Linked DNA regions of Drosophila melanogaster. The protein of the gene in region 1 interacts with the protein of each later gene in a pairwise test. Each region holds a gene or a part of one and is shown on either strand. Other genes may lie near its edges. The genes, in order: Urm1 and dnk.

Region 1 (3,097 bases):
CCCCCACATCAGTGCCATTAATTCGAGCATATTAATTCGTATCCACATGCCACTCTTCCTTGTGTGTTTTTGGTTTTGGCATAATACCGCAAACGGGAAGCTCCCCCACTCACTTTTCTTGTTAATCAATTACAAACTGCAGTACGTACTCAATATTTGCCGAATTACTAGCTCTATTGTTCCGAATTGGTTGGAAAATCATTGGGAAATACAATCGAATTTTTTGGCAGCAATATCCTAAAGTAGGTCAACACTTTGAATAATATTTGCAAACGCCTTTCCTACCGTTTTAAGCGTGAGTGTAAGTGAATTTTAATCGATGTATAAGTGTTAAATAATCAGCTCCTAATTGGTAAGTACAAGTGTAATTATTATTAATTTTTATTTTTGTATTTTTTAAAGAGAATCTTATCTTATAAGATTGTAATATTGGTCGGTTTAATGTAAATTAATTTTAGCTTAGAAATGTTAGAATTTTAGGATTTTAAATTTTTAATATTTGTTTTTAGTATCAATAAGTAAAAATAGTCAGTATCGATTTAAATTTCCGTTGTCAGTGCAATGTTGCCGTTTCCTGTTTCGGTATTCAAAAGGAGAGTTGGTATATTTTGAATAGACGTATCGTTTCTGGATTCTTTTAGCGCCCAAGTGTGGGCCACACTGCAACTCGTGTTATTTAACGTTCGGCAAAAACAGCTGTTTATTTCTACTGAAATAAGTAAATTACACCATGTTAGGCCTGCGAGCGATGCTGCCAAAAGGGAAACACTTTGCTGTTGTCCTGGGAAATGTCAGCCGTCAGATTACCCTGCCCCACAACTGCAGATGCATTACTAGTGCCTCATGGACAAGACCACAGCAGTCACAACCACAGAACTTCCAGCAAAACAGGTGGCTTTCGGTGAAGTCGACGAAAACTGAATCCGACGATGCACTGCAGCGGATCTACTATGGAACTCTTGCGCCACGCATGAAAATGGTCAAGTTCTTTTCGCTGAGCACCAGCTTAGCCGGCTTGGCCGCCCAGCCCATTCTTCTCGAGCAGGGAATGAAAATCGGAGGAACTGGAATGGCCGTATTCCTCTGCACCGTCGGTGGATTCTTCACCTTTGTGACTCCTCTGCTGCTGCACTTTATTACCAAGAAATACGTGACGGAGCTGCACTACAATCCACTAACGGAGGAGTACACGGCCACCACAATATCCCTGCTTCTGCAAAAAATCAAGGTGGGTAGAGCAAATTTAAAAGAGCTTGCCTTCAATGTACATATTATTTACCTTTTAGACTACTTTCCGACCAAATGATGTGGTCGTTCCGGAGGTTCCCGGCATGTTCACCTCTTTTCTGGTCAACAAACGACCTCTGTTTGTGGATCCAGCGCTTTTCGATGATCCCGAGCACTATGTTAAGATAATGGGTTACGACAAACCGATCGATTTCAAACTGGATCTGACTCCGAATCCTGAAAAGTCGAAAACGAGCGAGGAGAAGCAATAAAAAAAACGCTCTTTATGATAACGTGTTTTTTTTAATTTCATAAATTCACAACGAAATGTAAAATGTCTTCTTAGAGCACAGATCATAATATGCTAATGAAAACTTTACCTAGCGTTCCATTGGAATGCCACCTGTTTATGTTTCTCAATGGGAATAATTATAATGCTGAGTCCCCTCGTCGAAGGTGAATGGTAAAGGTAAATTTACGTACAAATTATAATTTCTTTCAAAATGCAATAATTTTTGGAAGTTTAGAGCATGTGGTTGCCAGACTTTTTAGAAATTAGGATTCTATATTTGGTATTATTTTTGAATGGTGGATTTTTTTGAAAAGCTTAGACGCGGTCACACATTTATTTACATCGAACATATGATGGGCACGCCGGAATTAAAAATCATATTAGAATTCAGGTATATAAAGCCTTGTTCGAATTATTATTTCCAATAAATGAGACAATTTGTAATTTAATTTCGTAGTGCAGGGGCGGAGTTACTATTTGGTAACATAAAACGCCGTGAATTGAACTTGGACGGTAAACAAAAATGTATGTTCTAAAAGATGTTTTAAACTTGAGTGAAATCGGTTATGAATTATATATATTTTAAAGGGACTATTGCTAATCTGCTTAAGTGGATGCATGCGAATATTTTAACGGAGCGTCCGGAACTTTTTCTTCAAGGAGATACTGTGTAAGTTTGGCTTAAACTATAAGGGATACATAGTCTATACTTTCTATTGTATGTTTTCAGGCGACCTGGAATTTTAGTACTCATAAATGATACAGACTGGGAATTGCTGGTAAGTAAGAGTACAGAATATGGAATTCTAAAAACTATAATTAACTCAACTTCTAGGGTGAACTGGACTACGAGCTGCAGCCCAACGACAATGTGTTGTTTATATCAACTTTACACGGTGGTTAAAAAACGTTCTGGAATCTAAATTATAGGAGAAAAGTTTATTTTTATACTACAACCCATTAAATTGTATTCAAAAAACAAACAAAAACAGTTTTTGACTGAATCAGAATTACGTCCCTTTACCAGAGGCAAAGGCCCACACGATGGTTCGGGTAGTAAAGTTTTCATCATATCATCTAGAGATTGTAAGCTAGCAGGTTTTCGCTATTTATAAAAGCACAGCATTGAACAAGCACTTGGGAATTGTAGGGAAGTTAAAAATAGAACAATCCAGATGCGGTTTGGCGGGTAATTCGAAGTAAGGACAACACGTTAGTTTTACATTGAAGCAACATTTATTGAATTTAAATTTTCGCTTAAAATTATTTATCGAGTTATTATGAAGTATAGATATATTTTTTTAATGTTCGTTTACGATTATTTTAACTATAGGCACTTAGGTTACATATCAACTAACTGTACGTAATGAAGTTCGATTCAGATATGTTGGGCATCGGCCACGCCCCTTTTTCGGGTGCTGCTCATGGCTCCCATCGATTTCTGTGTGTGTGTGGTGCGGATCGTTCGATTGTGTGGACTAAGAACTAGATATGTATGAAACTTGCTTCGACATTGACACGCTGAATTCAATAATTTCGACTGATTTTTCCGATAAACAAGGCAAAACGAAAAGCAGC
Region 2 (4,408 bases), on another chromosome or scaffold:
GGAATGCCCTATATGCCTCCACTGATGAACCCCATGATGGGCATGCGTCCGCCACCGATTATGAATCCCATGGCCATGATGGGACCACCGCCTCCACTGGGCACTATACCCGGCGTCCGTCCAGGAATCATGAACGGACCCAAGTGAACGCCCTCAGGAACGGCATCAACGTTCACAGCACAGATGGAGTGCTCTCCTTGCGATGTCCTAATTAAGCTGTAGCATTTAAGTAAGCCCGATAGCGAAAACAATTAATTATATACATTTATATAAAGCAAGTTGACTCAACAAATGGTTGTCTTTGTGGGTGGAAGTCAATAGAGAAATAAAGTATATATATTTAGGTCAGTAATGAGAAGCGCATGCAGTCACATTAGAGTTCAGCAGGCATAAGATCACGCCGCTTTTACGGTGCACACATTATTATGACTTTAAAAAACCCCGCTTCAGAAAAAGATAACAAAAATCAATGCTAGAGAAGGCATTTAATGATTTCATTGTCCAACACAATATAGTTAAAATGCAAGTGAACTGAAATGCTAACACAAAAATAGTAGGTGCCTTGCCTTTAACATAAACATTCACAGTTTTTATTACAATATTTTGAGCTTACATACTAGTTGCTGTGAAGAGAATATAATGTGGATTATAATTGTTAATATACGAATGTGTTAATCATTGGCTCGAAGTGTAAGTTTCTGCCTTTGTCCCGCGAATCGGCTCGTCTAGGCCTCTTATAATATTATTTTAAACGTCTGTACTACACACAATTAGGTACTAATGGGATAATGGTTATCTGGCGACCCTCTGGCGCTTGCTGGGCGACACCAGAACCGGCGAGGGCTGTTGGTTACTTGAGATGGCGTCGAATATGCTGCTCTCCGAGCGCTGGTACTCGGTGCCAATGTTTTCCAGGTTCAGATCGGCATCGAGGACTAGGACCTGAGGAAAAATGCATATTTAGCGGCTTCGGTAGATGTGAGCTTGTGTAGAAACTACCTTGCACGACTGCGGTCGTCTCTGGTGTATCAACCAGTCCTCGTGCAACTCATGCAGCTCCTGAAGGTACTTAAGCGGCACGCAGCTCTCCTCAGAACGAGCCCGCTGCCGGATGCGTTCGTACGCCACCTCCGGCGAGGTGCGCAGATATATGATGAGGTCCGCCTGCACGTGAATGGACTCTTCGATGAACTTGTACCACTCCTCCAGCGTATTGTACATGCCCTGCTCCAGCGAGCCGTTTCGTCGCATGTTCTCCACGAAGCAATAGCTGCGGCGCGATGGGTAATGGATAAGTTTCGTTTAGCGTTTCTGGTCAAACCGGACGACGGGAATAATGCACTCACCGAGCGCTAAAAATGGAGCGCTCCATTATTTTTAGCTTCTTGTTGGTTGGGGCGGTGTGCGACTGCAGCATGGTCAGCGTGACATAACTCTGAAAGGGCATGGCCCACTTCTTGGGATCTTTGTACATCAGCTCCAGCAGATTTACCCCGTTGACGTTGCGCCACTTCTCGACGGGCTCGGTCAGCAGGCAAATGTCGTTCTTGTACTTCTCGAAGTGGTTCAAATACGTGGTCTTCCCGCTGCCGATGTTGCCCTCGATGAGGACGGTGAAGGGCTGGGTGCCCTCGGCGTACTTGGTCCCCTTTCGGGCACAGGATGCTGCCTCCGCCATCAGTCCGGATAATCGGCGATCTGCACGTGAGATTGGGAGTTTTACTAACTGTTTTAGGTACAGCACAGCAGCAACGGATCGCGGTTGAAGTTGATTGTTCCGGATTCGATGGAGTACTGTACACGGCGGCGGGAATATGGTGACTGATTCAACCCGCCTGGTCAGATCGTTTACCGCCGAAAAACAAAAAGAGCGGGAACATCGCCATTTGTTTCTTTTTTTTTTAATCGGTGTTACCTATCGTTATGCTTGTTTTTGTCAACCGGCTGATCGGTAACTGTGTGTGTGTGTGTGTGTGTGTCTATTCTATTGCCGGTAATGTTTTTACATACATCTTTACAAAAACTTAAAGTTTAAGCCAATGCTGGTTGAATTACCTATTAATGATATAATGTTTTTCTGCCACATGTGCTTGCTGGACATTGCTGTTTTTACAAATTTATTAAATACAAATACCACTGATAGCAATAAAATTAAACATTTATTGCTCACAACTTTTATGGCCTCTTATTTATTTTATTTAACGTTGTGAAATGAATTTTCTTTTTGCCTATACTGAGAATCAGCTGTCGGCGATAACGATAACGGTCAGCTGTTCTGTGCATAGTATCTGTTTTTCGCCATCCCTACGACGACGCATTTTTTATCAATATTATTGTACATTTTTATAAACCTGTATTAAAACTTATTTTTAAAAGGAATCTTAAACCGGGAAATTAGTTTACGATGTCCATAGAAATCGAATCAGCGGAGTAAGTACTGTAAATCGACCAACACCACTCAGTTTTTACTAGATCCGTGATTTCCCCCCCAAACAAAGTGTGATTCGGCTCATCCAGCAGTATCTGAAGGAGTCCAACCTTATGAAGACCCTGCAAACGTTACAGGTTAGTACTTACACACCGCGGAGAGAGTTTGTCTTTCAATGATCTTAAACTTTCAGGAGGAAACGGGTGTCTCCCTGAATACGGTGGACAGCGTGGATGGCTTTGTGCAGGATATCTCCAACGGGCACTGGGACACCGTGCTAAAAGTGACCCAGTCTCTCAAATTACCGGATAAGAAGCTGCTCAATCTATACGAGCAAATAGTCTTGGAGCTGATCGAGCTCAGAGAACTGGGCGCAGCAAGATCTCTGCTCCGCCAGACGGATCCCATGACCATGTTGAAGCAGCAGGAGCCCGAACGATACATCCATTTGGGTAAAATATAAGCCATTCTAAGGTTTCACTAGAGTTCGTGATTCCTAATTGGTATATTTGTCTGTAGAAAACATGCTGCAGCGCGCTTACTTCGATCCCAGGGAAGCCTATGCAGAGGGAAGTAGCAAGGAAAAGCGGCGCACGGTCATTGCCCAAGAGCTAAGTGGCGAGGTGCATGTGGTGCCCTCCTCCAGGCTCTTGGCACTCCTGGGACAGGCTCTTAAATGGCAACAGCACCAGGGACTCCTTCCGCCCGGCACCACCATTGATTTGTTCCGCGGCAAGGCGGCGATGAAGGACCAGGAAGAAGAAATGTATCCCACCCAGCTGTTCCGACAAATCAAATTTGGCCAAAAGTCGCACGTTGAGTGCGCTCAGTTCTCGCCGGATGGTCAGTATCTGATAACGGGCAGTGTGGACGGTTTCCTTGAGGTGTGGAACTTTACCACCGGCAAGGTGAGAAAGGATCTGAAGTACCAGGCGCAGGACCAGTTCATGATGATGGAACAGGCGGTGCTGGCGTTGAACTTCTCACGAGATTCCGAGATGGTGGCATCGGGCGCACAGGATGGCCAAATCAAGGTGTGGCGCATCATCACCGGTCAGTGTTTGCGTAAATTCGAGAAAGCCCACACCAAGGGAATAACCTGTCTGCAGTTCTCGCGAGATAACAGCCAGGTACTCAGCGCATCCTTCGACTACACGGTGAGACTGCACGGGCTGAAGTCGGGAAAGATGCTGAAGGAGTTCAAGGGGCATTCCTCCTTTGTGAACGAAGCCACCTTTACGCCTGACGGACACAGCGTGCTCAGCGCATCTTCCGACGGCACAGTAAAGGTTTGGTCCCTTAAAACGACCGAGTGCGTGGCCACGTACAAGCCCCTTGGCAACGAGTTGGCCGTAAACACAGTCCTCATTCTGCCCAAGAATCCCGAACACTTCATTGTCTGCAACAGATCCAATACGGTTGTCATTATGAACATGCAGGGCCAGATTGTGCGATCCTTCTCGTCGGGTAAGCGCGAGGGCGGTGCCTTTATCTCAGCCACTCTTTCGCCGCGAGGAGAGTTCATATACTGCGCTGGAGAGGATCAGGTGCTTTACTGTTTCTCCGTCTCCTCCGGTAAACTTGAACGTACTTTGAACGTAAGCTGCTCTTTAAACTATTTGTTTTCAAACTGACTTTAAACGTGATATTTATTCCATAGGTTCATGAAAAGGACGTCATTGGCCTGACACATCATCCGCATCAAAATCTACTGGCCAGCTACAGTGAGGACGGCCTGCTGAAGCTTTGGAAGCCTTAGACCATATAAGCAATTGACTTTCACACCTAGTTAGTTTTAGTTGGTGGTCTTATTTGAGCTGCCGAAATATACCTACTGACCCCAAAGCGCTTGCAGTTTTTTTCTCATGCCCTCAGCCATTCCTCACATCAATATCTTCAATCTTGCCTATATGAAACAAATTGACTTTAATTAAGCATTATGCAAAGCGCCAATCTCTCAGAGCGCTAATCCACAGAGTT

What was found.
Region 2: the proteins of Urm1 (region 1) and dnk interact in a two-hybrid assay, tested with the Drosophila melanogaster proteins (one large-scale study listed by BioGRID).

The regions. Positions count from the first base shown.
Region 1 is NT_037436.4:7,639,217-7,642,313, reverse strand, and holds Urm1 (Ubiquitin-related modifier 1), read left to right. Parts: upstream 1-1,867; 5' UTR 1,868-1,872; coding exon 1,873-1,910; intron 1,911-1,976; coding exon 1,977-2,044; intron 2,045-2,107; coding exon 2,108-2,189; intron 2,190-2,249; coding exon 2,250-2,298; intron 2,299-2,354; coding exon 2,355-2,423; 3' UTR 2,424-2,503; downstream 2,504-3,097. Other genes in the region: CG7506 (uncharacterized protein), read left to right, coding at 731-1,228, 1,287-1,499.
Region 2 is NT_033777.3:18,978,842-18,983,249, reverse strand, and holds dnk (deoxyribonucleoside kinase), read right to left. Parts: upstream 2,256-4,408; 5' UTR 2,056-2,255; intron 1,994-2,055; exon of another isoform or gene 1,926-1,993; intron 1,827-1,925; exon of another isoform or gene 1,699-1,826; 5' UTR 1,679-1,698; coding exon 1,347-1,678; intron 1,271-1,346; coding exon 1,000-1,270; intron 943-999; coding exon 793-942; 3' UTR 501-792; downstream 1-500. Other genes in the region: snRNP-U1-C (small ribonucleoprotein particle U1 subunit C), read left to right, coding at 1-147; Smu1 spliceosomal factor, read left to right, coding at 2,405-2,430, 2,499-2,565, 2,622-2,880, 2,948-4,026, 4,089-4,187. UniProt on the Drosophila melanogaster protein: Deoxyribonucleoside kinase that has a broad specificity phosphorylating thymidine, 2'-deoxyriboadenosine, 2'-deoxyribocytidine and 2'-deoxyriboguanosine. Specificity is higher for pyrimidine nucleosides.